Caenorhabditis elegans: one gene and its partners. The protein of the gene in region 2 interacts with the protein of the main gene of each other region in a pairwise test. Each region holds a gene or a part of one and is shown on either strand. Other genes may lie near its edges.

Region 1 (7,527 bases), on a different chromosome or scaffold from region 2:
ATAAATTTTTATTAAGCCGATTCTGCTGCTTCTTTTGTAAATTTTTAAGGCTCATGAAGTTTTGCCAAAAAAAACTTCTGAGCTTCTTTCTTGAAAACGTAACAATAATTTGAAAACATATAAAAAATCACATATGAAAAATCATTTGAAATAAATTATAATACATTATAATGACGTTTAGATTTCCAAAATTTAAGGTTATTCAAGCAAAGACTGGTAATCAGTAAATCTTAGGCTTTCTTTTTCGCCCAAAAAGTGACAAAAAGTGAGAAAAAGAACCGATCGTTTTTTTGTTGTAGTGTTTGTTCTTTTTTGTTCAGATGAGTTAATAGTTTTTTTTCAGTTTTATCTAAATACATACGCAATTATATTTGCCGACCTAATCGATATCGATCGCGAATTTAAAACTTTCTCCCTAACGTACCTTCACTGACATCGCGTCGAGACCCTTTGCATATCAATGTGAGTGCGGCTTTAAAACGTGCTACTGTTCCGGCGGCGTGTTGTTCATTTTCTTCTTGTTCTTGTTTTTCTTTTTCTTTTCTCTCATGATTTTTCCCGATTTTTTGTTATTTAGTGGCTTTCAATAATCCCAACTTCTTCAATTTTATAGTTTTTAACGTAAAAATATCAGATTTCAGTCGTTTCCTACTGTGTTTTCTTTATTTCACAGTGAAATTTAAACAATACATCTTTTGAATACTGAAACCAGCTGTTTTCTCAGTTTTTCTTTTCGTCACACTGATCGCTGGAAGACAAACACGAATTGTTCATCACACATTTTTTTTTCTCCCTTTTCGGCGAAAAAACCGAAAGAAAAAGTTTTCCGCACCCTTGTGGGCAAAACGATGAGCTCGCTCGTTTCGCAGGAGAAAAGAGCGCCGAAGGTATTTACTTTTTGGATGTCTAGCTTTCGCTTTCTGTGATAAAGATCTCACCTATAGCGCAATATTTCAATCATTTCCGGCGATCAGTTCAGAAATGACGTATTTTCATATTTCCCTCTCTCCGTCTCTTCTGTCTTCCTAGTCACTCTCTCTCATTAGAATAACGGTCGCTCTCCTCTGACCTTCTTGCCCTCACAACAAACGCACACAAATATCCTTTTCTTTTGCCTGTATTCAACAGAACCGATTATGCTCTGCGTCTCTTCAATCAACTATGTCTCTCATGTGCCTTTTCATTCTGCGTATCTTCTCTCTAATGCACTCCCGTGCTCACCTTTTCCGTCCCTCCATTCCTGTACTCACATCGTTGACACGCCCGAACGGTCGAACGGTCCGTATGAGAAATTGGTTCAGCCAGCTTCCTTCTTTCTACCTTTTTTTTGTTTATTTTGGATAAGGAACTCTGAATTTTAATTTTTACTTAAAATATTTAAACGGCTTTCAATTTACTTTTAAGTTATTGACAAAGAAAAACAATCATTGAGCACATTTCCAATAGAAAGTGCACTCTTCTTGTTCCCACTTCAAACAATTGAAATGTGCGGGAGCAAAAGCTCCAATTCGCTTCTAGTTTTCTCCTTGTAGCGAACAAAACAATGATGTTCTTTTCATTTGGACAAACTTGATTTGTAATTTTATATAATCGATGCAATTAAAAAAAATTTTCTCTACCGCGAACCTATTTTAAAAACTCAAAATAAAATCCTGAATTAAAAGAACCGGAACATTTTTACTTTTTCCTTTTCGTTTCCTGATGACCATTCGAGTTTCGTTAGTGACAAGAGAAAGAATTTGTCGAAATTGAGTTTTCTCCTCTTCCTTCCACTCTTTTGTGCTTGTTCTGCTTCCGAAGCAGCCAATTCTCGACTGAATAGGCCACTTTCGGAATTATTTCAAGTGGACCTCTTCCTTCCTCTATTCATCATGCACTCTTCTACTTCTGCCCCCATTTTCGCTCAATTGTCAACGATTTGATCATCAGAAAAATAATTTTTCGCAACTTCACTTTTTACGGACCATAACTAGCAACCCACATTTACCGGTGTTCTTCTCCTATTTTTGGTCGTTAATCAACCGGTGATCCATTTCAAGGTTGATGTCCCCGATCTCTTTTTCAATGTCTGTGTATCTCTCATTCTACACCGAAAGCCGTTTTGGCATTGTGCCAAGTCTCTTTTTGAAGATATGTGGTACGAGACTGTGAGAAATAAGAAAAGTTTGTTGATAATAAACGAAGCGAATAGAGAGAGGCACAGAGGGACGACCCCAATATCTAAGAGGCCGTGTTTACTTTGGCTCGTCGTCATCTTTCGAACCAACACATGCATACGCTCCCTTGCGCGCGCGCTCCTCTGATCATTCAATCGCAGGTCCTCCTTCTCTTCGTTATTTTTGTTACGGCTCGTTCTTTTTTACGTTTTTAGCATGTGAGGCGTTTTATCAGCAAGTTTGAAGTTTCAGCAAAATTTCATATGTAAGTTATTAACACCTTATCACTGATTAAACGGTATTATTACGAAATGATAATAATTCGTAATTAGATACAGAAAACTATAATAACACGGCTACTTGATAATTTTCATTGTTATGTTTTTGGACTCTCTCCTGATTTTTCTGTTTCAATGGTTCAATTCCTCTTTGATCATTTTTAATGGCGGTGAAATATTATTTTTGTTCTATAATATCTTCAAACCACCGTGTTAATGTGAAAAATTAAAAGAAGTTTGTTTTTATTTTGAAAAATTGAAAATTGTCATAAATTTCACGAAAAAAAACGGTCGAAATTCTCATTTTGGAAATTCAAGCATGGAATTTAGCCAAAATTTAAAAATTCAATTTTTCGTTGTTCTTCGATTTTATTCGTTCTTCTTCTGTGGCATTTCTGAATTTTAGACAATTTTGGATTTTTTAAAGAAAAGTTCAGTATTACGATTCACGTTTGCTCTTTGTCATTTTCTCTCAATCCTTTCAAACAAAATTATACTAATCTTCCCTCCATTTTCAGATCTCAGTTCTCAACGAGATGGTCACGACCAGTAGCGGAGGGGGTATAGGGTACCCGGCAAACAACGGTGTCACACAGGTGAGAATCGAGATTAATTATTTTTCAAATTGTTACAAAAAGGGATTGATCTATTTTTGTAAATCTTATATTCACGTGATTCATGAAGTACGTGAACTGTGACGAAATCATAATTTGTTTAAAAAAAAATCTAAAAATAAAAATTTCAGTGTCGATAAAAATTTTTCAAAAAATATTTAAGGTCTACTGTTAGATTAGCAGATGTTTGACGATTATCCATTTTTCATATTCCAGGTGTCTCTGATTCACTCGTCGGATTCTGTACGAACTGTTTCAACTGCCCCAATATACCGTCCGACGTCATCAATGGCATCTACGATGGCTCATAAATCTTCGACGGCTCCGTTCATCTCCGCAAATCAACGAGTTAGTTTTTTTTGTTTGAAATGAAAAAATGCGGAACAAAATTTTCAAGAAACGGAAATGCTATTAAGATTTTATTAGAAAAAATTGAAAAAGAAAACTCGATAACGGAAATTCTTCATATAATTCAATTGGTTTCTCCCTTCATCTCAACAATCCGTTTGATGGATGATGGCTAGGTTCTGATAATTTGTAGTTTTTTTGCGGGGAGAGTAACGGAATTCTTTGAATTTTTGCATCTCACGCAATTGTATCATCACCTTCCCAAAAAAAGATAGTCAGAAAAGGAGAGAACACCTCAATAGCGTATCTTAGCGTAGAAAAAAGTCATCTAATTTTGATTTGAAGTGTCACGTTTTGTTTTTTTTTTTCTGCCGGGCCATAAGTCAGGTAGGCAGACATCAACGCATCACAATCGCCATAAAATAATGATAAAAATATTATATTTTAAGATAGGTCCTGGTTTGAATTGGTTAAGATTGTCGAAGATCAGAAACGGATAGGAATGCATCAGAGATTATTAGTCTCGCGTGATACCTTCAGATGGATCAAAATGACTTGCTTTTTTTAGTTGATCGAGATTGATTCGGAAAAATTTATACCAATCAAGTAAATTTTTGATGGAAATAAAATCAGTAAATTTTTGATTCAGTTCCAGAATACTCGGAATATGCCTACAAACTGAAATTTCCCAAAAGAAAAATAGAAAAAATTAAGAAAGATCAAAAATTCCAATTTTCAAAAACGCTCTTTTTCAATTTTTTCCCTATTTTAATTTCCTCCAAAAATAAAACTGCGATCAATCAGCATTTCGCTCCGCCCACTTTTTTACCAATCAGACGAAGACGCTGATTGGTTCGAAACTGGGTGTGGCTTCGAGATATGTAAATTCACACTTTTCAAAGTTGGAATTTTTGATCTTTAGTAATTTTTTCTTTTTTCTTTCGTGGTATTTCAGTAAATTGGAATTTTCAGAGTTTTCTAAAAATGTATCCCCATTTTTCGAAATCCTCCTTTAAGATTATCAAAAACATTTTCATAAAATAGTTTAGTCAATATAAAAATTCAAATTCCTGATGATAAATAGTCTTTCCATAGGTTCACGACCACTTTTAGTTTAAAAATTTCTCTTTTTTATCTTTCGGTACCTAATCACCACATATCATTGATAGTAGTGAGTGCTCTTCGTGGATCGGTCAATTGAAAGAAGATGCCAATTGGCGTTCTCCCCTTCTTACTTTTGCCCTCCACGAAATTGAAACAATTTTCTCATCATCTTCATTTTCTTCTTCTCTCGTAACAGAAAGTCTGACCTTTGAAGAGAGACACAGAAAGATAGACGAAGTATTCGTGTGCGTACGCCGTACGCGCCTTGCCGATTAACCTCGATTTATCATTCAAGCTTTCCCCTATATTGGATTCTCCGACTTATTTCTTCATTTTAATTCTCTTCTATTTTTATTTTCTTGACCCACTGGCCAAAAGCTCTTCGTGAATATTAAAAAGTAAAAAAAAGTTCCTCCTCTAGCGTACACGAATATTTTTTGTTGATAATAGACAACAACTGTTTTATTTTTGTTTAATTATTTTATCAAAAAAAATCTGTGGCTGTGAAGGAAAGATCGCCAAAAAAAAACTGGTCAGTCGATTAATTTTCGATTATAAATTTTGTTTTTTTTTTTCACTTTTCACTCACTTCCTTCTCATCGTTGCATAGTCTTGCGCACGTCGGCAACGCGTATTACAACTAAATTAATTGCGCAATTGTGTGAGTGAACGCGTGTGTGAGCGTACGCTTCTCTCGGCTTCTTCTCTTTCAATTCCATCATCTTTCTATGTTGTCGTCGTAGAGTCGCATAAAGTTATAGATGTTATTTTTTTTCTTGTAGTGTAATCGAGACTGTCGTCAAGTCATTATGCATAATGATATGTATTACGTGTTAAGCGTTATTATTCTACAATTGTAAAGTATTTTTTCATCTTCGCGAGGCTGTCGGTGACTGTTCAATGATTGTTGTTGTAGTATTTTATGACAGAAGATACTATTCTATGGTGGCAGCCACTACAAATAATGCCATACTCTTTAAAATATTCTTGAAAAAAAACTGATTAGAAATTTTGAGAATCGCTTCATTTAAGTAAAACATTTTTTTTTGATCGGTCAAAATGGGATACATGTTTGGTTCGCCGAAATTTTTCTTTACTCTCTTCCGGTGTTTAATGTTCATTTCTCTTCCGGTGGCCCGAAAGAGTTCTAAAGCTAAAATGTGACATGTGATATCATCATTTTGAAAACACTTGTTTTTTTTTATCTTCCGTTCGCCAACACGACTTTTTTCTTATTACCACATCTGATCCAATTGAAAGGGAAACCGATTTAAGTAATATAAAAGTCATCTCTTGCATAGGTTTGAAGTGTTGAAGTTTTGACATTTACTTTTTCATTCTGTAACTTTTCGTCGACCAGTTGAATCCTTTTTCTATTCCGTTAAATACATTCAGCTTAGTTTCATGCTTTTCAATACACCAACAACCATCAACACAATCGTTGTCCGAATCGCCTCAGTTTGGTATGCGATTTAATGCGAATTGTCGGTGACTGTCGTAGAAATTAAAATCAAAACAGATTTTCTTCTATTATTTTATGTTTGCTAAATTCCTCAATAGTTTGTTCAAAAGCGTCTTTCGTTTGTTTTGAATTAATTTTTAATTCACTCTTTCTTCTACTTCATTATTAATTTTGTGCGAGAAGTTCGTCAGATCATCATGAGGGCGCATAGACACAACATTTACGACATGTTTCACTTTCGGGATTTTCAATTGAACAGAACACCACCAGCACGAAGACAACGACAACGATCCACACTTTGTTCCAAAATACACGTTCCTTCCCATCGTAGGGCCTCCTGCTGAGCTTTTTATCCTATCAAAGAAGCTTCTTGTCGAAAAGGAGAATATATTTGAAATATTAATCTTTGTTTGAAATTATCAAATTGATAATTTAAATAGGTTCATGTTTCATAGACTAATTCAAATTTCATTCTATTTCTCTTTTTGCCTCATTTTTACTCTGAAACATTACCTAGTGTACAGTTACCAATAACTGATAGACTCTCTAAATCCAATAATTATCTCACGGGCTCTTTCTGATTCAGGGATATTAATTTCTGCACCTGTCAAATTCGTATTCCAAATAGATCCTAGAATTTAACAAATTTAGCCATTTTATATATATAATATTCTTGCTCTTGATCATTAACACTCGATTTCCACTGAAAGATCAGATCATGACGCTCAACTATCTGTGCTTGATTCCCGTACTTCCGATACTTTTCGCAATATAGATCTCGATTTCTCGAGTGCTTCCTATAGTGAGCCGTGTGCCGTCTCCTACTGTTTTCTTATTGTTTTGATTGTCTCGACAACAAGCCGCGAGAGACCACGTGCGGCCGCTGCCCACCAATAGAAACGATATTTATGTCTCGTAGAGTCTTGCCGACTGTTTTTTACGCTTTCCGTGCGCGCGTCGGCAAGCTCCGATGGCGGCACTGTAGAACCTCCAACTCACCGTCATTACCCACACTGTGCTCTGCACCGTTCACACTCATCAATAATTATTGATGTTGAAGTTAACTCATACATCCATTTAATTCGATTTGATTTCTTCAAGTTTACATAAGGCATAGTTTCCACAGTTTTACAATATAATTGTTAGTTGTAAACTATTGGTTAAATAGCTCACACCCTTTTCATCTTCCTGTTGGAATATAATAGAGGTTTATGGGACGGGACGCCGTTTCTCGTCTTCGTCCCGAAACAAACTACTACCACCAAAAAAAGAAGAGGAAGGTCTCTATCGCTTCGCGCAATCTTTTTGACTTGAGTCCTCTGGTCATTCTCAAACATTTCTCACTCTTCCATTTCTTACTATTCCTTTTGTTTTTTAGCTGCTCAGCACATGCTATTATTGTTCGCCATAGGTAATACCAATTGAAACAGTTTCAATTTGAAACGCATGTATTCACAGTTATTTTTCTCTATCATCATCTCTCTTATTGGCAATGGCTTCACACTGTTCGTAAACCTGTTGTTTGGCTTAGCGTTGACTTTTGCAGCAACGTCGCAACGCGAATC
Region 2 (10,187 bases):
AAGTTGTTCCCTTTTGTTCCATCATCTAGTTTCAAGTTAACAGCTCCATTAAAACTGCTGAAAAAATTCATCCAATCATTAAACACGTGCTTTGGATGTTTGGTCTGTTGAATTGAAGGTGCGGAAATGATTGGAATTGATGGAACTGGATGCGACATATTCTCCATACAAATTCTTTTTTCAGGCTGTGGTTTTTCATTAAATATTTTTCGTTTTTGAAAATTCTCTTCAACTTGATGACTGAATGAAGGTAAAAAACAAGACGATGAAGAGATGTGGGGAGTTATTTTAGTTGCAGTATTAAGACTTGAAATTGAGGACATCAGCTTGTTTATGTCCAAAGTATGCAAACTATGGCATTGTGGGCACGAAGTTGGAAGCAATGTCAATCCTGCAAGACTGATCTCCGGATTCGTAGTCACACAAAATTTGTGTTGTTGTAAGAAATTATTCAAATTAATTCAGGGCCTTTCGCTAAACACATTTAAAGTTGAAAAAAAACATTCATTAAACAAATTTCTCAATATTTGTTGTTTGGCATGAAACGTGAAAATTTTTTTGAGCATTTTCTTTTCAAACCGATTTTATCTACGGTTACCTAATAAGTTTGAAATTTTTCTATTAACATTTTAACAATAATTATGAGAAATTGGAATATAGAAAATTCTCTAATAAAAACTAATACCTGAAATTAACGATATTGACACTGATGGTCCAGGGGACGATGTTATAACGGATGGTGCATTTCTAATATTCGTATCCATTGAAGAAAGTCCAAGTCCTTTCACGTCATAAAGTTCGTTCATGGATGCATTCATGAAAAAATGCAACCGTTCCGCCTTCCCTTCCTCTATTTATTTAATTCGAAAAGGGAGGGGTTCATCCTTGCTTTTTCTGTTCCTGCACTCGGTTCAGTTTTATCTTCTCCTGCCAATCTTTTTGAAAGAATCACAAAACGACGGCACCCCCTATGGCCCTTTGATGGGCAAAAAAAAAACACATCTTTTGTGGTGAAAAATGTATCTAAAACTGATGGGAACAATTCATTATGGACAAAAAAATTGAAGGGTTTTTGGAAAAAAACGATAGGATAGAATCGAGAAAGGTTGATGTGATGTGAGGGGTTGATGAAACCAATACGTAAGATCAGCAGAATACTGTTTATTGATCACTTTGTATGGTTTGAAATCGCTAAAAGAAAATTAAGTTGTTGGGAAAACAAGAATAGAAAGAACATCAAACAACGGAATGCACTTTTGAAGAGCTAGAATTAAAACATTTCCGGGTAAGGAAGACATCGGGTTAGGAAATTAAATTGAAAACAACTTTCAATAAGGTTTTTAAAAATTAAGTAAAGTTACACGTAACAAAAGCCAATCTCATCTACTTATGGCTGAAATTCAGATATACTGGGATCAATGGTAATAATTATTCTTTGGAATTTGACCGATATGCTGGATTTAATTTCTTTGGTTCTCAGTAGTTTGCTGACTGTTATGCCGGCATCGTACCATTGTTCCTTCGATTGGCAGAGACTTGTCCATTCTGCTTCTGAGCTCAAACATCATTCCGATTGTGGTGATGATTTCTGCGGCAATTCCCTAGAAATATGAACTTTTCTAAGGCATTATTTGTGCGAAATACCGAGGTCAGCACACAGAAAGTGTGACAAAAGAAACGATTTTCAGTGTCCCTTGCAACAAAGCAGAAGAAGTTGAGATCCTTTCTATCCTGACATACGACTCTTATTGTATAGACACCATAGCCGTCAAGTAGAGTCTAAAAAATCATTGAGATTAATCGGGGGGCAAGTTTGTCAACGCTTCGGATTTTCTAATCAAATTAATATTGCGGGTGGTCTTTTGTGGCCTACAGCTGATATCCGATTGCGGCGAATTTCCTAGACTAGTCAAAAAACGTCTCAACCTCTAACGTCTGCTGAGAAAATACAATTGATAAAATTGATAAACACAAACAAAATATGAATTCTCGGTTCGAGAAATATGATGTTCTATTTCTAAAATCCAATTTCCGAAATACCATACGATTAAAATATCTTTGTGTTTTTTTCACATCGTATAAGTATATTTCATAAGTAATCAGATTTTATGAAATACTTTCACGTCATAACTTTCCTGCAACGAATGCAGGTGTATCAGTCGTTAAATTATTGTTTCCCGACCCCCTTATTCTTTAACCGCTTCTCAGTTCTGCTGAACTTTTACAATTTGTCAATTCCATTAGGTGATAATTTAATCATTACCTTAAAAGTTTCATCGAAGATAGTGATTCCATTGCAAGTCAAATCCAAAGTAACCCGTGGAATAGTCTCCCAGTCAATTATCGACTCTTTGATTCTTGTCATAGCTGCATGAGCTTCATCAGAGCATTCGGTTTCTCCAATTTCCAGAACACCGAGGTGGTGTGCACGATACACCACGTTGCCCTGCAGCAACTTGTTCTTGATCTTGTCAAAATCGCCTTGTGGGCATTCAGCACAGTTGTTTCTGAAACTTGTTGAATGTTTGTTCTTTTGAAAATTATTTCTCATTAAAAACTTACTGTTTTGACCTTGGCGGCAGAGGAGGAGGTGACATTAATGGCTTAATCTGTAGTCGATTATTGTACTCTTTTCTTTTTTCGTCTTCTGCTTTTTTGAACGAATGGAGCATTCTAGCAATGTGACCAGGACGAGTAACACCGAGTTGCTGAAATTAAAAATATGCAACAATTATCACAGGTCTATGGATATTTTTTGATTAATAAACGCGAAATCAGTGATAAAAAGTATCTTAAAATCACAAAAGTTGTTATTTGAACAAATTTACTCACCATCAATCTTGCCGTGTCCCAGTCAATTTCTGTCAATTTTGCCATATGCTTGTATCCTGCACCGACAAAGTTGGAAATGTAATCTTGAAGTCCGATGAAGTTGAGCCATTCACTAACATAGAAGAAACGTCCTGGAATTGAAAAGTGATTTGAAAAATTGATGAAGGTTTCTTAAAATGTTCCGGCAGAGTAAATGTGTTTTATGAATGTGTTTTATGTTTCAAAAAAAAACCAACCAGCACTAGCAACATCATCCTTCAATTTCTCAATCTCTGACATTATCTTGAACTTGGTGACGTCATCTACTCCGATTTCCGTAAGGATACTTCTATTTATTATCCCTTTTAGTTGATCCATTCTATCATATCCATGAGTTTGAAGAAGTGCTCCAACTGAATCAGCCGCTACTGGGGCTAACATAACATCACTTTCCAACCACTCAATTATTGTTTTTGGTTGCTGAAACATGAACAACCGGTGTAAAACGTGACATGAATGGAAGTTGAAACAAAAATGTAACTAAAAGTACCTTTTTTACAAGAAGCGACTTGTGATCTCTGAACTCATCCTCGACAAGTGTTACGCTCAACGCTTTCGACCCACGATCACGTAAGTAAACTGCCACACGTGGCTCGTATTCACGAACAAAAACACTTTCACGACATGGAGCTGCACCAAACGAATCGAATACACTTTCCACCTGTTATACAAAAAATTAACAAAGTTTCACTGACACTTTTTTCAAATTTGAAATTATAGAATTGACATTTAAATCGTTTTTTGTTGTTTAATGCTGATAATCCAAAAACGCACAAACGTTTAGGCGCTGCCGTTATTTTTTACTGCGTTTTATTCCCGCTACCCAGCTTTGCAAATACACAAAAAAGACTGACCTATTACAGTTTTTCTGGCTCTGTATTTCAAATACACCGTAAGAATTAAGCCCGCACAGCGAGTGCAGGTTTTTATCATTAAAAAAAACTTCTGATCTGTTTTTCTTTACATTAACAATAGCTGACTATTGAGAAACTGTTGAGAAACATAAAATCCGTGTGCTTTTTGCAGATACGCCATTGTTACGAAAAAATAAACAAAAATTGGTTTGTCCCCTGATCGACTTACCCTATCCCAACTAGGTTCTTCACTGGTCGTGTCTGATTTCTGGTCTGATGAGGGGGACGACAAATTATCTGTGGGTGAAAGTGAATTCAGCATAAGGTTCGTTGTTCCATTTTGACGGCGGATTCGGACAGGCTCTTCCGGCTCAGTGAAACTGCTATTCATCTGCACCTTCGACGTTGATTCAGTGCTTCTGTGGCTCAAATTTGACGATGACGAGAATCCAGAGAAGAAATCAACATTTGTAGAGTCAACCAGCCGAGATTTTCCACATAACGCGTCAAAGATGAATGCTTTAGAGGTGTTTGGGGAAGGTGGGCTCTCGGCAGAGTTTGATGATGGTCTCATCACGTCTTCTAAAAAAATTGCAGTCACATTGTTGTCTTTCTCATAATTCCCATTTAGATGTTGATTCGCATTTCCTTGGCTGTAAATGACACTGCCTGTCACTGAACCTGTTATTTCTTCTGGCATTGCCAATGGTGCACGGCCGTTATCACGTTCGCGTTCCCGGAAGAACTTATCTGAAATTGCATTTATTTAGATTGACTTCAGGACTCCATAAGTTTAGGAAATGATTTTTTCCTTGTCATTGACCAAAGTTTTTTTTCAGAGTTAACAAGATACCGAGCATGAGATCAGTGTTGGAAGATTCGTTTTCTCATAATCTACCCGAACTTATCAACTCGTACATCATATGCTAGAAATTTTTTAGGTTGTCGTATGCCCCTAAATCATTCCATTTTTGCTTAAAATGCCTACCTTTGTCAAGTGTCGAGCACGCGTATGTCAAGGATGATGTTATGCTGCTTGCTCTGGTGTCCAGTCTTGGACTTTGCGTCAATCCCAGCGATTCTTCACGATCACACGTAGTTCGGGAAATAGAAAACTCTTAAAAGTCTTTATTTTATATTAATTAGAGTCGTTTCCTATACTTACGGTTCCGATTCAATGACCTATCCATTGTTTTGTCTGGGTCTTGAATAAAGGCGTCATTCAGGTCAGGACGACCATGATCTGGAATTCTTGGAGAGTAGGTGGCAAGTTTTGGAAGTGTTGCGTATCCGGATTGTCTACGGAGTGATGCAGATCTTGCTATTGGTGAGTTGGGGCGGACGAATATTGCAGAGTTGTTCGGAACGTTGTCATATGGTGCTGGCGGACGATTGCTAATGGTCAGTTGACTCTTTTGCCATTCATTGAATTTTGAAGGAGAGTTGTATGCACAATTATCTCCCGGGAGTACAGAAGCTGAAAATAAAGTCAATCCGTAAACTCAGAATATCGATAATAGATTACCTATTTGCTTTTCTGTTGGCCTCGTTCTAACATTTTTCAGCCTCGTTGGCAATGTATCGCTGGATCTTTGACACGAATAATGCTTTGAGTGATAACTAGGCGATGTCAACGGGAACCTTCCAGTTCTTGGAGCTCTGTCTAACATGGAACTGTTCCATGTACGATTGATAGAGTGTGTGGTGTAAGGCCCCTCTGATCGAACACTGTTCAAAGCTTCTGTAGAGTCGTCGGGGGATAAATCTCGCAGTCTTGCAGAAATAGAAGGTGGCTGGTAGATGGAATGATTGTTTCTTCGTTGATCCGGGTATACTTGAACTGAAATCGTGAATAACTTTATTTATCATTCAGATTTTGAACTTTGAGCTTAACTCGATTGATAACCGAAATGTTCCTTACAATGCACATATTATTAGTTTTAAAAATAACCCACCGCTTGCTTGACTTGGAAGTGGTTGCCAAATTGCTTCTCTTTCATTGTCACTTTGACTTCCTTCGGTTTCTCTTCCAGAGTCTCTTCTATCCATTCCTTCGATAATTGTTCTACATTCCTTCCATCCTTCCGGATTTTTTACAAAATGGGCGATTTCATTCCTTCGGTTCTCCTGGAGATCGATGATCATTTGGAGCACTGTTTGTCCGTGTTGATTTTTGATATCAGTGTTCACGCCAATTTCCAGCAGAAACCTGACTGCCTCGGCCTGTCCACAAGCAGAAGCCACATGTAGAGCTGTCCCATCTTCCGTAGTGTAGTTAATGGAGAAACCATGTTCACGAAGAGCCTGAAATTAAACATTTAGTACATTTTTCATTTAAGTGAAACAGTAAATTATTTGATTGGGTTTGTTTAACTAAAAAAATCTACAGAACATATGAGTCTTATAAACCTATGATTAAACTACAAAAATACAAATAATAAATAGTAGTGTTTCAAAATATTTACTACAGAAAATATAGTTTTTTTTGTTGGAAAACCGCAAACACCGTGACGCATAAGTGCACAGTCAAAAAAATATCTGTTGAGTGTTTATATTTCAAACTAAACGTTTTTTGGGATGAGTTATGAAAATGAAATCATAAGCATGTTACTATCGAATCTATTTCGAATTTCAAATTTGTAAACATTGTACAAACTTGCAGATTCATATGAAACACGCCTATCAGAAAATTAACCCCGTTTTTTTGCTATTCTCAAATTGCTACCAACATTCACGCAAGGAGTAAACTATTCTGCATCACCCTTACTCTTATACTCAATTCTTGAATAATGAATAGCAAAGTGGAAAAAGCAACTCACTTGCATGCACTCAACGTGATTATACTTTGCTGCAAGGTGAAATGGGTATATGGCCGGAAAGGGCCGTTTTATGTCCGGTGTTCCAACTCGAAGAGACTCATATGCTGACTGCACAGGAAACTTTGGCCATTTTTGGCACAACATTCTGATGGCTTCAGCAGATCCAATGCGTGATGCAACGTCAATCACATTTTCCTTGTTTTCATTACGAATGAAGGGGTCGGCATTTTTCTGAAATTTAAGGAAATTGAAACGATACGTGATTTTTCAAGCTAACAATTGTTAAATCTGTCAACAATTTAATCTCTATACAAGAATCAAACGTCAAACGCATTGCAAAATTGAATAACTTATTATAGATATGAATGTTGTTCCTGTTCACAGTCGAATAGTTTTAATTCTCAAAGTTATCTTTGCTTACCTTTATCAAATAGAACACAACTTCAAGATGACATCTCTGAACTGCAAGATGAAGTGGAGTTTCATTGAAAATGTTCACTGCATTCAGAATATCTGCGGGCTTTTCCATTGTTTGTAAAAGAAGCATTTTCACAATCTCCAAGTTCCCATTCCAGGCGGCCAAGTGAATTGGTAAAATATTTTTTGTACTTTTACACAGTAAAAGAAGTGGTTCGTAGTCCATAAGGAGTTTACTGATTTGATTTTGATTCTCGAGAACCGCATGATGGAGTAAGGTGAAGTCAGATTTTTCATCTTTGTAGTCGGCGAGCCAATGACTGTCTGATCGCGTTGTGAAAAATCTGAAAAATATCAATAGTTTATTTGAAAATTAGAAAATAAGTATTACTTCAGCCCGCTTCGAATCTTTTTGCCCTTTTTCGAGCTGAGAAACAACGCAACTTTATCATATTCTCCTTTTTTACAAGCATCGATTACTTCGGTTTTTGATATGACAAAGTCTTTGAGGCTCATTTCATCTGAGCTCCTGTAAAATGATCGATTCAGAATTTAATTTAGGACAAAAGAGAAAGCAGATGTTCATGTCAAAAAACAAAAAGAAAAGTAGGAAACAAAAAAGACGGATAGAATATAGGAGAAAGAACAGATTTTGTGAACACATATAGTTTTTTGTCTTAATCTTGTTTACTTTCTCTTTTTGAGATGTAGTTGTATTTTGCTACTCAAGGGGTCCACAAGAAGTAGTAATGCATAAAAAGATAGGAAATGCGAAATATGTAGAAAAAGGGAGTGTTGTAGATGAAAAGCAAGGGGGTCCCCGGGTTTCCTCCCGCGCGAAGAATGCCTCGTAATGTATTGCATTTTACTCGCTTTTCACCAAAATCTCGACAAGAGTGGTGAAAGCAGGGTGATGGGAATAGGAAGGGCGCAATGTGGATGGCCGGTCACTCACAACTCCACAAAACTACACATTCTTTTCTCCTCTTCTTCTTTGCAATTTTTGTCGGTCTAGGAGTGCATTGGATGCAACAACAACAACAAAGAATATAACTACAGCTAATACTACTAATGGTCAATGTAGGAAAAAAAAGTTTAATAGTAGCTTATGGAAAATTGAGTTCGAGTTGTAGTCATCAAGGATATTCTTAGGTGAAAAATTATAGTGAAGATTTTCCTCATATTATCAGCTCTTTGCGAGTTTACATCTAAAATGTACCACTAGAACAAGATACCTTTTATAAACTGCAATGGCTCTCACGAAAAGTTGTCGGATATGTTCTTAAAAAATGATAATTATAGTTTTAACGAATTTCGTGTCAATTCTTCAACAAAAAAACATAGCGTCCAACAATTTAACTGAATTACAAAAAATAAAAATAAAACATGATGGTGACAAAACACTTTTCCAAATTTGCCAGCTGAATTAATATGAATTCCATTTAGAAAATTATTACTTAATAGCTATAGTCAATATGGCAACATTTTTCAAGGTGATTTTAACCGATTTTTCCTAATTTAAATAATTCAGCTGTTTTACATGTTAGAATCCTTAACTTCGCTGAATAAACTTTATATTCATATGTACTATGATCAGTGATGGGTGCACATTACATTTAACTTCTGACTAAGAAAAAATTTTTTGAACAAAAACCAACTCTATGCATCTGAGAAGGTTCTCCTCGAATAATCAGATAAATTCAATTAGAACTAGTGAGCACATGCGGAGGAGGCTGTGCACTTTTCAAAATAGCCTCAAACAACAAAAACATAATAGCACAGGATACACGGTCGATGCTTAAATTGAAGTTAATAATCGTTGACTTAAACATATACGACAAAAAAGATAATGACATGCTGCAAATCGAGAGGAAAAGAAAAAGAGATAAAAGCACTTATGAAGTGCAGTAAAGGGAAGATAAAGGGTGGAAATTGAGAGGAGAAGGTGGAAGGAAGGAAGAATGATAAACCCGTGCTGTTAAGTTGTAATAAGTGTTTCCAACGTGTTGCATATGTAGGTGAATAATAAACACATATCACTTCAAACATCTAAAATTGCGTTGAGGATTTAGTTTCCAATGTGATTTAAAAAAAAAATTGATTATTTCTGCTCACTTTCTACAGAAAAATTGTCCTTATGTTAATCAAAATAAAAATTAGACAAGTAAAAATTGAAAACCACAAATGTATGAAAAATGTTATCAAAAAAACTATAGTGAGGCGGTTCAGATATGCGATTTCGTAGTTTTCCAAATATTTTATATTAAATCCCCAAGTTCGAAGTTTTAAAAACTGAGATTTTTCAAAAAACTTTTGGAACTGTTTCGTTGTTCACACCGCACATTAAAAAATCTTTGGCTTACAATTTCAACCGTACACCATATATTAAATAATATATTTATTTAAAAATATTTTTAACTTAATTAACTCCCACGAAAAGTTTTGGTTATATCATTTGCATTTTTAAAAAAGAGTGTATTAACCAGTTGAAAAGTTGGGTGTTCAAAACAAAGGTATAAATATAGCATTTCAAAGTTCTTTTAGCTCAATCCAGTTATTCCTAAATATTTGAGATGCGAGAAGAATACATTGAAATAATATATCTAATCTATCAAAATAAAAAGTTGACGTGTGATTTTGAACGGGACCGCGGAAACATGGCATGATTGGAAGAGATATGTCAAGAAAAACGCACATCCATCCATCTTTTTTCTTCCCCTTATCACCTAGCGCTTTCACTTCTCCCCCATTTTTTCGCCAATTATCACCTCCGTGCTAAATCAACCTATCTTCTGTTTTGATATCTCTTCTTGTCCTCAATTCATTTGATTAGAAAATGTGGAAGACGAGGAATGAGGTAGGGCAGGTCGTGCAAATAAATCCTAAACTTTTGTTACAGCATGAAGCATCAGATTTTCAATGCATAAACAAGTAGAAACTAGATGTGATATGTATAAAGATAGAGAATGAAATGATGATGGTGTGATGACCCATCACACAAATGTGACACGAATAATAGTATTCATAATGACTATGACGACTTTTTCAGTTCAGTGCATATTTTTCCGCTAACTGGTAATTGGTAGGTGTATGAGAACCGTGTCGATATAGAGAGGTGAAGTATAATGGAAGAACAATAAGATGTCTCTATGGTTACTTTATAGTGAAATTCAAAACAAAAGCCAACTTTTGAGTAACTTGACAAAGGAAATTGTGAATTTGAGAT
Region 3 (7,590 bases), on a different chromosome or scaffold from region 2:
ATAAAAGTCGATTTGAAATTGCTATCAGTGAATTTTTTCCTTACTTTAGAGGCTCGTATATTTTTTGATTTGAAAAATCCACACTTGGAGCATACCAACTGGTCCGAATCTACCGCTAATAGTAGGGTACACGCGTTCCCCGCTCTCTCAGAGGGCACTCTTGCATATCGTTAAGACGTCAATTGATCACTTCTTAGCACGCTTCACACCTTGGAGCGCACCTTCATATCTCTGAAGCTCCCTTGCCTACCGCTCGAACTCCCTTCTCAACACCCACCTGAATGGTACAATTTGCGCCCGGCTGATCCTAGTCAATTTTCCAATTTTGGGTGTCCACAAATGAGCCGGAGCACACACGAGAAGGGGGTAGGGATTAATTTGGAAATTGACTGAGTAGTTGTGGGGTGTGTGTGAGACGCGACGGACCCATCAAATAAACTTTCTGTGGAAAATAGAGAGTAGAGAGTAGAGAAATGAAAAGTGACAGAGCTCTTCAGGAGATTAGCAGATCACTTTTTCGGCTATCCACACGGAATTAGGTGAGAAATTACCTCTTTTTGTAGGGCACGGTAAAGGGTTTCACGATATGTTAAGATAAAATTAAAGTTGCCGAAAGTTTGGAAAATCCCCTGGAATTCTCTAAATTTTTTAAACTGTCAAAAAGTCTTCATAAGAGCCAAGGGTTGCAGTGTTCGCAAAAAAAATCAACTCTAAGAACTTCACTAAAACTTCCTGATATTACCTAGCTATAATCATTGGCGAAAGTTACTTAAACCTGTTGATGATTTTAGAGTATTCCACAGATTTGTCAAAAATTGCATAAAATTTACCAAAAGTTATCAAAAGTTTGTTAAATGACAACGGTTGCTTGTTATGGTATCTGCCCGCAAGCGCCCCGGTGTTAATTTTTCTACTTTTTTTTTTGGACTTTTTACGTTTTTCCAAACATTTTTTCTGTTTTTGACTATTTTCATGTATATCCTTCCGCCTGTTGCAAAAGTTCGGCTGTCCTCCATCTCAAAAGTGAGTCCGCGTGAAATATTGCCTCCCATTCGCCTCCCTCGAGGGACCTTTTTCCAAAAACTGAGCTTTTCCGGATGATGATGATGAGCAAACGTTTTTAAGAAACTTCGTCTCATATTCTACTTCCCGATTCACTCAATTTTGGTATACTTTTGGAACATTTCCAAGAAAGAGAAAAAAAATTTCAAAAACTTTTTTTTTTGAAAGTTTGTCAATTCATAAATCAGGAAAAAAATGCACGTAAGTTATATATTTTTACCAACTTTTTTCGAAAAAAAGGAAGACAAGTTTTTCTTATTAAATAAGAAAATTTAGGCAGGAAAATGTTTTTGTTTGTGCAAATTTGATTTGGCACCGCCCGTTTCCCTAAGCTTCCCCCTCTCCTTTTGTTTTTTGGGCCTTACTGCCGTGGTCAGTTTTGTACTATCTTTGATTAGTTTTTGGCAGAAAGTATTTTAACAGTTATTTTAGCAGTTTTCAAAAAAAAAACAAGGTTTTTAAAAAGATTTTCAACAAAAAACAGTTTTCCAAAATATTACTTCTATCGTAGTTTCCGAAATGAATTTTTAGTTTTTATATTGAAATTTATTTTTGAGTTTTTTGAATTTGTTTTTGAAATGTTTGATTTTTTTTTCGGAAAATTCAAAACATTAGAAGCTTTCTTCAGCACCTCGATTTCTGAAAATTTTGGGTACACTTTTATGCTCTGAAAATTTTAATTCAAACGTTTTTCGACATTTAATTTTTTTTTCGGAAAACTTTTTTCCACAAATGAGTCAAGTAAAACATTTTGAAATTTCAAAATTAGTTCCAAACATGTTTTTAAGAAAAATTGAAAAATTTTTTTAAAACTTCAATAATTCAATATTCATTCGTTTAAAATTTCATTCATATTTCTCTTTGCAATTAAATAATCCATTTGCAAAGCTACTTACCATAAAAAATTTCAAAAAAATTCGCTCCAAAATTTTGAGCCATTTTCTCGCGCTCCGCCCCCCATGAGACTTCTCATCGTGTTCTTTTTTCGTTGGGCGATGAAATTCATCAAAATGTCCCAAGAGTGTTGTTATTGTTCGGCTCAATGCTAAAAAGAAACAGAAAACTCATTTCTGGCTTCGTCCCAGCCATTGATGGAGGGGTAAGGCAATTCGCACCCCGTCCGAGTTTTATGACCTTTTTTGACACTTTTTCGACGTTGTATAGGACATAACGAATAGTTTAGCATAAAATTTGTATAGTTGTAAAAAAAATGTTGAAATTTTAATAATTTTCGTTCTTGAAAAAAAATTTCAATTTCCCCCGCACTTTATGGTTTCGGTTTTCGTTTCGGGTCTGCTAAAAACTTTTTTTTTTATTTTTTAAGTTTTGCACAACTTCACAAGATGCATTTCCATTTATAAAAAACTTCAATTTTGTTTGAAATACAAATTTAGGCAGGCCCATCGAAATTTTCCTTATGAGGAATGTTGGTAAGACCAACCTTTGTATGAACTTCTGTAGTTTCACTTTCACAATTCCCAAATCTCTCCGATTTAGATGCCATTCGTCACCTCTCATCTACCTTATACCCCCGGACGGGTCGGGATGTTCACCCGACCAATGCATCAACGACATTATCATCGCAGAGAGCAGGATCAGAACGAGAATGATGTATTGATTATATATGATTTTTATGAATGTTTTTATGAATATTCAATCAAAACGTAGAAATATTAGCTTGTCTGGTTTTTTTCTCGGTACACGCTTTTTTGCAAAATTTGAATCCCTTTGGATTGGCAACGCGGTATTTTGTAAACTTGCGATCGGGGTTCAAAATCTCGAACTTTTTTCACATCATTTTTTCCAGATAACCTCTCGCCCAATGGCAACATGGAAAACCTACGCCCGGATAATCCTCGCTCACGTCAGTCTTATTGTCTTGTCGGTTGTCTATGTTGGATTTGGAGCGTTTCTCTTCTATCAGTTGGAGCAACCGAATGAAGTTGAAGTTCGAGCTAGGAATATCGAAAGGTTCAATATTCACAAACGACAAATGATTGAACATTTATGGGAGATGAGGGAAAGCGGTATTGGACAACGTAAGTTTTTTAGACTAGAATTTTGAATTTTAGCAATAGGTAAAATCGATTTTTGAAGCTTTTAAAATTTATTGATTTTCTCAAATTAAAATTATTACGTAATTTTTTCTGAAAACGTAAATATTCAAATAATTTTTAAGATTTGATATTTTCGACATTTCTTTTTTTTTTAAGTATAAATATATTTTCAAAATTATTGAGTTTTTAGGGTTGTTCAAACATTATTGTGTACTCTTTCGGGAACTAAACAATGTTATTGGAGCAGACTTTTTCCAAATTATCTATATACTTTAAAAGGACGGTTGCAATTAATCAATATTTTTTGGAAATTTTCAGAATTGTTGAAAATATATGAACAAATTTTTTTGGGTTTTTTTTCAAATTTATTGCTTTTTCAAAAAAAATCTGCATTATTACCGACTTTTCTTGGAACTTTCCAAATTAAATGTTCCATCGTTTTCATTATCTCTAAAAATCATCGAAATTTCCAGACGTGGTGGAGGATCTGGCTGTAAAATACGTAGACAACGTCACTCGCATTCTTTTCGAGGCATTTGACACCCATTGTATAGGAGCTAAGCATCTGAGACCCGGCGGAGAGGATGAAGACGTGAGTTGGAGTCTGAAATGTTTATCTGAAATTGAATTTGCACTGTGTTTAAGTTTCACAAACTCAATTTTTAAATTTCAGTACAATTGGACCTACATGACAGCTTTATTTTTCACTACAACTCTCCTCACGACTATTGGTTACGGTAACTTGACCCCAGTAACCGGAAGAGGAAAATTGCTCTGCATCCTATACGCACTTTTCGGTGTCCCACTGATCCTTATAACTGTTGCCGATATCGGAAAGTTTTTATCTGAAAATATTGTTCAATTGTATACTTGGTGAGACACTTTTTTTTGAAAACTTTTTTAAAAATCCGAAATTCAGGTACCGAAAGCTTCGGGAAAAGTGCTCAAAACAAAAATACAGTGTCATTTCCAGTAAGGACGATAAGAATAAGGAAGGGGACCTGAATCTGGTAAGAGGGTCTAAAAATGGTCTAGTAGTGGTTAAAATGGGCAAAAACAGGCAAACATTTTTTGAAATTAATAAGTACATTTCGAGTATACTTTTGAAATCAGCCAATATCGGGTACATTTTTAAAATTCGGAAAAAAAAACGAGCGATAAAACCGCCCGCTAATCACCGGCAACTTGCCCATCTTTCAGCTTCTACAAAAAATTCAATTTCTCCAGTAAACCAAAAAAAAAACTTGAAAAAAAAACAAAACATTTTGTTTTTTTTTCTTTTTTGGTCTGAACAAAAAACTAAAAAAAAACATCCAAAAAATTCATTTTTGCCAAAAACACCAAAATAACCAAAACAATCGACCACTTCACCCTCGAACACTTTCCAATTAGAACTTTTTAAGGATCATTTGGAAAACTACATCTCGATTCCTATATTCCTAATTGTGGCGATACTACTCAGCTACATAACATTTGGAGCAGTTGTTCTGAGTATGTGGGAAGGATGGGATTTCTTCTCTGGATTCTACTTTAGCTTTATTACAATGACGACTGTCGGATTTGGTGATATAGTACCATTGAAACGGGAATATTATATTTTAGACTTATGCTATATTATTATTGGATTATCGATTACGTAAGTTTGTGATTTTGGCTATTAGTGCCTCGAGTCTCAAAAAAACTGTAGTTTGTAGTTGACAAATTTCAAATCGTTGAAAATTTTTGCCAGTTGCGTTATTTTATATAGGTAGTACCAACAAAAAATTTCCAGCACGATGTGTATCGATTTGGTTGGAATTCAGTATATTCGGAAAATGCATTACTTCGGAAGAGCTATTAAGGTAAGAAGCTAAATTTTTAGTCCTACTAAAATTTTCTAGGACGCCCGATTTGCTTTGGTAAACGTCGGCGGGAAGATGGTTCACGTGCCGGATTTAATGAGATATGCGAGTGTTCTACAACAAAAGTATGGCCAAAAGAAGACCCATGACACAATAATTGTCAAGGGAGCTTATGCTCCAAAGGATCTGAGCAAAATACGGTGAGAGGACTCGGTTTTTTTCTTAATAAAAAGAAAAATCAATTTAAATTTTTGTATATCTAGATTCGTATAACAGTTCAGTTACAAATTAAATATTTCAAATATTCATTTGGTATTTACTCTGATAAGTTTTGATATCTGAAATATTTTGAAAACTCGTAAATTTCCAGATTTATCGATTTTGGAGCATTGGCCTCAATTGAAAGTTGGCAATCGCTATGGTCAATTCTCACTGGAAGAACTCAAGAAGTTCATGTTTAACTTATTTTTAGATTAATTGTGTTTGTTTTTTTTTTGTTTTAACGGGTGTTTTTTAATTAATTTTTTAACATGAAAATAAATCTAAATTTTTCAATTTAATAAATACATAAAGTATTTTCAAAGTTCAAAATATGTTGCATCAAGTTAGGTTGCCTTTGGGTCCAGCAACAAAAACGCGGGTACTGTATGAGGTACGGAAGGTTAAAAAACTATTCAAGCTTGCCATGACTATACTTTTTCAAAGATTGCTGTAAGTTTAAGCTGAATTTTTGTTAGATAAACTGGAAATTTAGAGCGATTTTTAACAATGTAGAAACATTTTTGAGGTACTTTAGGGTTTTGTGCCGGGACTTCAAAAAAAGCATTTAATTGTTTTTTCTTGTTTATCTGAGAAGCCCTATCATTTTCCAATCTTCACCATATCTGATTCTGAAATTTCAACGAATTGCGTTTGCTCTTCAACAGCTCCCCCATAAAAGTAATTAGTGTTTCTCTCTAAAGAAAATGAAGAAGGGGACATGCTCTTCCTCCCCGTTTGACACACTAATTAGTGTCATTTTCCATGTTATTCTTGTGGTTATGCAAGTCTAAATAGGTACTAGAACATCATATAGTTGTGGATTTTTGAAGATATTAAGTTCTCTGGCAAAATTTGGTCTGCATTTTTTATCAAAGATTTCCCAAACCCAGTAATGAAATGCACTTCAATAATTTAACATTTCTTCAAATTTTTTCAGTTTTTTTCAACTACATAGGTATATCCGATTTTTTTAGCATTTATAGGAACATATTACAAGAAGTGGATTGTAACTTTCACTAAAAATGTTCAGATAGAGGTTCGACAAATTTTTGAGTCGACGGTGAATTTCGAATGGTCAGTGAGTTTCAGCAGTACACCAAAATCTTCCCCGTCCTCTTCGGTTTTTTCTTCCGGCCACCCGCCCAAATTTAGCTGGGAGAAAATCCAATTCCCGAAACGCGACGAGGAAAAATAGAGAGTCACGACTTCTTCCTCCCGGTTTTCTCGATTTTCTTCGTCTTCTGTTTGTACATTTGTATCCCCTTTTTTAGAAAAGAAAGGGCCCCCGTCAGATATACTTTTGGCAAATTTGGAAATGAAATTTGTGCTCTAATTTTTTTTTGTTTCGTCCTTTTTCTTATGTTCTTTGTTTCGGTTGGTTTGGAAAAAATTTGGAAATTTGAAACAAAATTTTTAAAAAGAAAGTTTTAGATTTGAGTTTTAGTTTTAAGCATAAAATAAAAATAAATACTTTTGAGTTTTTCGTCCAATTTTTTTACCGTAACAATTAAAGTTTTAAGCATTCAGCAAAAATTATTTGAAAATTTTATATATGATATATCAGTTGGAAAATTGAATTTAATTAAAATTTCAGACAAATTTTTGGGCCGCAGTATAAGTTTCTCATATAAGGAAAACAAAAAAAAAATTCCCACAGTAGTAATCAATTCCGCCACTTTTTTGTTTTTCTAACTCTCCAGTATTTTATTTTTCAGTTTTTGGCTTTTGGCTTTTCAATTTTTGTTATTTTTTTACAGACATGCTTGACAACTCAAACTCAAAAACAAAATAACTCAAAAAATTTTGAAACTGACGATTTCTCATCCAAAACTTTTTGGGGAAATTAAAATTCCCGCCCAAATTAACTAAAGACAATATTTTTTCAAATAATTTTTGCGGGAAAAAAAATTCCAGTCTTCGTACAAATTTTGCTACAAATGTACAATGTAGTCGTTAAAATATTGTTAATTGGCAGGAAATTCATATTTCCAAATTTTAACAAAAAATAACTTTGGTAGGAAATTCAAATTGTGAGTCTCCCGGAACATTTTTCAGAAAATGTAAAAATACCTGAATTTTTCGCCAAAATTATCTCCGTCTCTTCGTCCTATAAATTTTCTCCCAAAATTGTGTGTGTGTTCAAATCAAAAATTCCGTACTCCATCCCTTTCTCCTTCTCTTCGACTCCAAAAAGAAGAAGAAACGTAAAATCTGCCATCTTTTTCTTCTTTTTTCTTCCGAAAAAGAGGATATCTTCCCCTCACTCTTCTCTATTTGCACCGCCCATCTTCTCCCTTTCGGAGCTCCGTGAGCCCAACGGGCATCTCTGGTTTCCCCGGGGAACACACGTTGACGATGGCCTTCGTTGT
Region 4 (7,208 bases), on a different chromosome or scaffold from region 2:
GTAAGAAAGACATTCAAGAATCACTTCATTTGTTTTAGGTAGGGCTGTCAAAACCAAATCTTCGGTTTTCCGAGTGTTATTTTTGGAGTTTTAGTTTTCTTCCGCTCTCCAAATTTTCCGGTTTCGATGCCCAGTTGTTCAAGAAAAAAAATTTGAGAAAAAACAGGCTTCGGATCTTCCAGAATCGGGTGAAAAAAGACGTCATGGTTAGTCTATTTGTCAGTCGTAGGCACTACCAAAGCGCCAAAACTGTTTTCGGATATGTTTTTAAAAAGTTCACCAATTTAGTTTGTTTTTCAATTTCAAATCTTTCAGGGTTGGAATATGGTATTCAGTGACGTTCAATTTTCAACAAAAAAAACCGAAAAATAAAAACAACCCAATGGGAATGCATTCGTTTAAGTTTCATGATTCTTTGAAGTACTTACACTCGATCTCATTAATTCTTGAATCTTCGATAAAAAGCGATGAAGATATTGTGATAAGAATGCACAACACGAGAAGTTTCATCTGTAAAGTAAATGATTTTAAACCAATAGCGAAATTATATACAAAGGCTGAAAGAATAAAAATTATGGCTGAAGGTGCAAAAATGTAAGGTCATAATTCAATGTCAATAAGGAACTGAGGGGAGCTGACATTTCTTAAAAAGAACAAAAAGGAAATTAATCTTTGTTGGTGATTCTTGAGAAGAATATCCAAATATCTCCACCCACGCTGAGATATAAGGATATATGTACGGAGACAAAGATTAAAAAACTTTTAAGACTTCGAGAGTAATGGGCGGAACATAGAGGAACGTATAAAAACTAAAACTATAGTTGAACGTATACTGAAGATGAACACATTTTCGATTAAAGTACAATTATACGTAGTCTTTATTTTAGTTTATATAGAACTTATGTAGTATCTGTACTTCAAAAAAATGTTGGTTTAGTATATTTTTAGTTATAACCTAAGATTTATTTATTTGTTCGGATAATACATCAGTTCAATTACAACCAATATAATTGAAAAAAGAATTATTGATTGTTTTGTAACTACCAAATGATAATTATTCTAAAAACAGGATAGTAATTTTGTAGTAATTTTTCAAATAGTAATTTTGATAAAGAAATAATTAGACTGCAATAATTTTATCAAATAAAACATTAACTGTATTCTGCTGCTCACGGTTTTTGCAACAGGAAACAATGCTTAGAGGAGCAAGGAATTTGAAGAATGACCAATTGATGCCTTCTCAAAGAATATAAGCTGTTTAGGTTTAAACACCCAAAGTATTCAAAGAGAGTGTCATGCAAATTTGTAAAGGTGAAAGCATTTCAAACGTCATGATGTTACCAAACAAGGAGGTGGTTGTTCGTGATGCACAAAAATTGTTTTGACTTGTTGAGTGGGAGGAGAAGGAAATGGGTTGACGTATTGAGTCAGTTGAGTGTCATGAAGCATTTTTAAAATGCTAGAAAGGGAGTGGCTAAAATCAAACAATCGGATGGGTCAAATGATGCGTGACTTTTTGATTAACAGGCTGGAAATTCTACCGAGTTAAGCACTTTTTCATGATAAGTCTGAAATCATTCACATTTCAAAGTCGCACTTCTTAAAGTTCCTAAAAATACTAGATATATTTTTAGATGGCAACTTTTTTTCTGAAATATTCAGAATAAAAAATATTCAATGCGGCATCAAAAATAGTTTTAAAGGAAGATTACTTAGTATCAATTTATGAGTGATTTAATACTATAAAACAAACAGAAACTCTTATTTACCACTTACAAAAGGGAAGAGATTATGAACTGATATTGATAAAACAAGAGTTGCCTCGATTTGGAAAAAAACAACTTTTTTTCAGTTTCTTAACAAAACAATACGAAAAAGAAATTCAGATGAAGTTTTTGTTCATAAGATTTTTTTTTAAGACAGCGTTATATCGAATCAATATTTTTGGTTTTCTAAAAAAAATAATTTTAATTGGATCGAAAGTTAAATTATTGTTTTGTATTTTTATTGTTCTGCACAACGCAACAAAAAGAGAAACAACATTTAATGGAAAATAAAATGCATCAAAAAGTAATGCTCTCAATTATGGCTCATTTTGAAGGCGTTCGTCAACTCAACCGGAGCAAGGATGAAATGGGCTATTGAAAGAACATTAAAGTACGCACGAAAACAAAACGTTAATTCGAAAATAGGTATTTATGAAAATGATTTTTTTCAATTCTATACGGATGAAAACAATAATTTAAATGTGTCCTGAGGTTATTGTTTTCAAATTTCCTTAAAATTAATTTTGGAATTATTTTTAGAGTTTAGGAAATCACATGTAAAATGGAAAGGCCTCAATTCTGAACTTTTGAACTTTTTTGCGCGGGGTAAAAAATTAGCGCGGATTTACCCAACGAAAAATTTCAAGGATTTTCCAAATTATAAGCTTACAAACCGTTACACAAACAACATTACGATTCAAAATAATTATTCCAGTATAAATTGAATATAAACCTAGCTCAAAATTCGCCAAATTATTACTGATTTGATAATAATATTAGCCAGTAAGATTGAAACCAGAAACAAATATGAAAGAAGATTTCAAACTCGATTACATGAAGCAAGCCTAGAGAGAAAATATCGCAATTTTTCTGAAAACTTAATGTGATACATGTAGTGCCAACTTGGCAGATGTCCTATATGTCTTCGAACGTGAACTTTAAATTTTAAATTCGTCTTCATTTCAGCCACCCACTAGTTTGATATCCGATATCCTACGTCCAGAATTGTGCCGCCCACTTCATAATTTTCGGATAAATATCAGTTTCAAATGGTTACCACATTAGCAAAGTACCTACCACCTATGATCTTCGTTCAAAATTTCAGCTCGTGACTCACTCCCTCTTCTTTTTCATTGCTATAAAATGTGTTTGCAAATGTTATTTGCTCTACGAAACACAAAATATGCAAGTATTGTCGTCGCCCATCATCAAAGTCATAAACGGGACAGTGTCATTAGTTTCGATTCTCTTCGCTTTTTTCTCCCGCATTTTTTATCACTGATAACAAGACCTCGTCCACCTGCTCCCTCTCCTCCCTTTTTTCTTTGCATTTTCAGAAGAAGGACATATCAGTGTTGGCATTGTTGGTTGATTCACAGAGAAGTTATTATGTTCATCACTGCATTAATTGCAAAGGAACTTGGATTGTCTCGAGTTAAAGAACTTAATCCTACTGTCACTATCAATGGTGTCACAACCGTGGAGTTAGAGGTAACTTTATAAATTAGTTCATAGTTGAAAACTCATATATTAAACCAATAGGAACTATTTGAGGGCATTGCAAAAATCTCAAAAACTTTTAACTCAAAATTTAAATGTACTACAGATATCAAGTACTATAAAATTATTGTAACTCCTATTACTGTTAGTTTTTTTAATGGCTCAAATTTTAAAAGGATTTTGCAAATTTTTTAAATATTGCAAATATGATGCCAAAATCGTATACGTTACATTGTCGACTCTCTTAATCTGACTATTATTTTCAACGATTAGAAAAAACCGTCAACGCTAGATTAAGATATTTTTAGACAATTTTTAATGTTTAATTTCAAAAATTTTCGAAAATGTTGCTTGTGAAATTATCTTTGAACTTCACTTTTAAAGGTGCTAGTACGAATTACTTTCCAATGTTTTGTCTTCGTACAAAGCTTTCATGTTTTTTAATTCCATATTACCTCTTTAAAATTAATACTTCATGTTTGTGTTTTTGGATGGAGTGTATTATATTGGGAGTTAAATGAGCACAAAGATTATTCCGGTTATAAGGAAATTTCGTTCAAGTCGTTTCATTTTCTAATGACGTTTTTTGTGGAAATTTTTAACTGCCTGTTTTACTGATAAGAAAACGGAAATATTGTTAAATAAACAAGTTTTTCAAAATTGAACTCAATACGGTTGAAACAAAAAAAAATAATTAAAATATTGGAAGTATAGTATTAGGATTAGATTTAAACTTTCTACGAAATTGTTCCAAATTCGAAAGAAATGTGCCAAAATGTGATACTGAATGACCTTTGAATGAGGCCAATTTCTTTCTCCCGCCCTTCTAGAATATCATCGTTTTCTGGTTTTAGACAGCGGAGGGCCTCTTCCGAGTGCATTTGGTGAGAGATGATCAAGATGTTATAGTGAAACTAGAGGAAGGAAGCAAGCTTGCCGCCTACTACAATTCACTTTTCTGGCATGAGATATCAACGTTTGAGAAGATTCCTATTCCAAGTGCACATTTTAATCGATCGTTTGTTGTGACGGAAGATGAAAACAAACATTCTGTCTATGTTACTCAATTTTTGAAGAAAGGAAGTGTTCGTACCAAATTGGGATTACCAGAATTGGAACAAGTTGCCTCACAGATTGCAAAGTTACACGCTGTCAACTCAAAAACTATCAATAAACAATTCTCACTCAATGTGCAAGAAAATTATGGAAACATCATATCATTCAAAAAGAAAATTCAAAAAGAATTGATTGAAGTGTTGGAAACAGCAGTAACTACTACAGAAGTTGCAGACTACTTCATGAATCCATCCTCAGTTATTGAAAAAGTTGGAATTTTGACTCATTACTTGGAAGATTGGAAAGATGAAGATGCAGATGAAAAGGAAAAACATAATGTTATCGCACATGGAAGATTGACAGCTGAGATTTGCAGATTTGATGAGGATGGGAATTTGGTAGAGATCACAGAATGGGAAGTACGTAATTATTTTTAAAATAGAAAAAACTGCGTTCTACTATAATTTTTACTTTTGATCTTTCAACAACGAAAACCTAATTAATTTAGAACATTCATCTTGGAAATCCAGTGGAGGATTTAGCAAATTTGATTGTTTCATCTGCAGATGTCGACATTCGACGAAAAAAGTTCATGAAAGTGGGTTCGAGAGTCTTATGGGAACGGCAGAGCACCAGATGTTTTTGATGTAATTTGTTTTAATTTTAGATATTTCAAGTCTATTTTTATGCACTTGTTGACTATTACCCACCAAAGTATCAACTGCATGATTTGAAAAGATGGTTCCAGGAATATCAACCTACAGTTCTAATCAATGGGTGAGTTTAGGTTTCAAATTTTCAAATGTTTTAAAAGACCAAAAAGTTGTCGTACTTTTGATATTTTTTATAAAATAGTGTTTTACCGGATTTTCAAGAAAATAATTTTTCAAGGCATTTTAGGTTGCCCCAAATTTTCAGAACACTAGTCCCATTAAATAAAATTTCTAATCATTTCCAGAATCGAGTCTCTACTTTTTACACTGAGTGAAGGTTCGGATGACGTCAAACAAGATGCTGCACGTCGATGGGAGACAGCGTTGAATGATACTGTAGATTTCTTGACTGGAAACTACATTTCGGATAATGAGCACCCATTTCTCTCACAAAAAGAGAATGATGATTGAAGAATAAGATAACGTATTTGCTTTTTTTTTCAAAGAATCGAGAATAAATGACCGAATTCAAAAATAAAGATTGGTCGTTTTTTCTTGGTGACGAATGAATAAATCTTCAATACAAGAACGGAAAGATGCATCTCTTGACAACGTAGATATACGGACGACAAAATAATAAATGTATGACGTGTGAGAAAACACTTGAAGCTTGCTTAAAAAAGGGATTGGGTGTCTTCGAGAAAATCAGAACATTTCTTTCAAATTAAATTATGTAAGAAGATGTTCATATTACAATATATAAATAGCAATATACTATTTATAAATTATATTGTAAATAGATATTAATTACTTAATTTATTTATTTACGCTCGCGAAGAGACGTGGAAAAAGTTGAAGAAAAAAGAAAAATGTACACATAATAGATCATAAATACAATACACTGAATAAGAGGGATAGAAACAAGAAGAATAAATAGGAACGAAAGTTTGTTAACAGGACAGTTAGGTCAGGCGGGAGGAGATAATGTTATGTGGGTAGTTCATGAATCATCAGTTGTCAGACATCTCGTTATTCAAGATCTGATATATGTTTTAGAAACTTGGGGCTACTCAGCGTACGGTTTACAATAAAATGCTTATTGTAAATAATATTGTAAATAATTATATTGAAAATATGTTGAAAATAGAACAAAAAATGCAGCATCCGAAAGTTTCAGATGAAGAGTTTCAGCACTTGGTACATCTATAGCAGATTTTGAAGAGATGTTTGTATCCAAACATCTTTTGGCAGTTGATCAAGAAATTAATGATAGAAAAATATCACACCATAAATTCGCACATTTCTTTGAAAATAAAATCTTTTCAGAGTATTTGAATGTATAGTAATTGTCACAATCTTTATTCGAGAATATCGAGAGGATGTAGTTACACGTCTCCAAGTGAATTAGTTCCTCCCTGTTCCCAATCATAAGGATGTTCCGGTTGAGGACTTCTGCGCATTGCCCGACGGAGAATCTAAAATATTAGGATTTTACAGAAACAATGCTTAACAATTGTAAATAAAACCATACGTTGCAGATATTAACATAATCGGGAGCTGTGAAATAATTGTAGGAATCAATGAGAATCATCACTTCACGAAGTTCTTCCATCGGACAAGGTGCTCTCAAGAAAAGAGCGATTGCTGATGGGTGACGACTTTGTTGCTTGACTCGTGCAACTGCAGCACCATCTGGAAGACCTTTCCATGGAAGTTGTCCAGTGATCATTTCAACGATAACGTAGAAAGCTGATTCTAAATCATCTTTTCTATTCAGTTCTTGCAGTTGATGACAATTCAATGAAGCATATCGAACGGTTCCACGGAATTCAACATTGTCACGAGGTTTTCTCATTTGATTCTGAAAAAGTTATGATTCTTCAGAGTTCAAATGATTTTTGCTTTTCACTTGTCTCAAAAAGCCGAAAAATGGTGTTAATATTTCTTCTGTGAATACACTTGAGAAAAGTAATCTTTACTTTGGAGTCCAAGTAACGTCGTGAAATTCCAAAACTCAAAAGATACAACTTTCCAAGTTCGTTACGATCTTTCCGTCCAAAACAGATATTTGAAGGTTTCAGGTCTCGATGAATGAAGCCACAATTGTGAAGATCTTCGAGTGCTTCGATGAGTTGAATTCCGACGCTCAGGGCACAATTGACTGAGATTGCTCCAGACATGGAGGTTTTCATGTAGTCCTGAAAATTATTGGGACTTTTGCAAAATAGTTTTT

What was found.
Region 1: the proteins of C11E4.6 (region 2) and ape-1 interact in a two-hybrid assay, tested with the Caenorhabditis elegans proteins (one large-scale study listed by BioGRID).
Region 3: the proteins of C11E4.6 (region 2) and twk-40 interact in a two-hybrid assay, tested with the Caenorhabditis elegans proteins (one large-scale study listed by BioGRID).
Region 4: the proteins of C11E4.6 (region 2) and C50F4.1 interact in a two-hybrid assay, tested with the Caenorhabditis elegans proteins (one large-scale study listed by BioGRID).

What each region holds. Positions count from the first base shown.
Region 1 is NC_003283.11:11,672,992-11,680,518, forward strand, and holds the start of ape-1 (Apoptotic enhancer 1 protein), read left to right. Parts: upstream 1-2,946; 5' UTR 2,947-2,970; coding exon 2,971-3,030; intron 3,031-3,264; coding exon 3,265-3,396; intron 3,397-5,003; exon of another isoform or gene 5,004-5,208; intron 5,209-6,721; exon of another isoform or gene 6,722-6,929; intron 6,930-7,133; exon of another isoform or gene 7,134-7,280; intron 7,281-7,492; exon of another isoform or gene 7,493-7,527. UniProt on the Caenorhabditis elegans protein: Negetively regulates apoptosis via its interaction with cep-1.
Region 2 is NC_003284.9:9,607,866-9,618,052, reverse strand, and holds C11E4.6 (ANK_REP_REGION domain-containing protein), read right to left. Parts: upstream 7,491-10,187; 5' UTR 7,478-7,490; coding exon 7,353-7,477; intron 7,306-7,352; coding exon 6,966-7,305; intron 6,776-6,965; coding exon 6,545-6,775; intron 6,030-6,544; coding exon 5,681-6,029; intron 5,566-5,680; coding exon 5,251-5,565; intron 5,203-5,250; coding exon 4,891-5,202; intron 4,843-4,890; coding exon 4,714-4,842; intron 4,476-4,713; coding exon 3,955-4,475; intron 3,533-3,954; coding exon 3,362-3,532; intron 3,292-3,361; coding exon 3,069-3,291; intron 2,964-3,068; coding exon 2,833-2,963; intron 2,709-2,832; coding exon 2,563-2,708; intron 2,508-2,562; coding exon 2,264-2,507; intron 1,780-2,263; coding exon 1,645-1,779; intron 1,602-1,644; coding exon 1,461-1,601; 3' UTR 1,008-1,460; downstream 1-1,007. Other genes in the region: C11E4.7 (PID domain-containing protein), read right to left, coding at 1-391, 686-806.
Region 3 is NC_003281.10:13,484,474-13,492,063, reverse strand, and holds twk-40 (Potassium channel domain-containing protein), read left to right. Parts: upstream 1-2,559; coding exon 2,560-2,673; intron 2,674-2,869; coding exon 2,870-3,101; intron 3,102-3,592; coding exon 3,593-3,711; intron 3,712-3,792; coding exon 3,793-3,992; intron 3,993-4,038; coding exon 4,039-4,129; intron 4,130-4,522; coding exon 4,523-4,755; intron 4,756-4,890; coding exon 4,891-4,960; intron 4,961-4,999; coding exon 5,000-5,160; intron 5,161-5,330; coding exon 5,331-5,421; downstream 5,422-7,590.
Region 4 is NC_003283.11:9,523,690-9,530,897, forward strand, and holds C50F4.1 (CHK kinase-like domain-containing protein), read left to right. Parts: upstream 1-3,103; 5' UTR 3,104-3,155; coding exon 3,156-3,257; intron 3,258-4,120; coding exon 4,121-4,741; intron 4,742-4,830; coding exon 4,831-4,920; intron 4,921-4,989; coding exon 4,990-5,099; intron 5,100-5,280; coding exon 5,281-5,446; 3' UTR 5,447-5,561; downstream 5,562-7,208. Other genes in the region: C50F4.9 (Cocaine- and amphetamine-regulated transcript protein), read right to left, coding at 429-510; C50F4.10 (non-specific serine/threonine protein kinase), read right to left, coding at 6,361-6,450, 6,507-6,836, 6,955-7,173.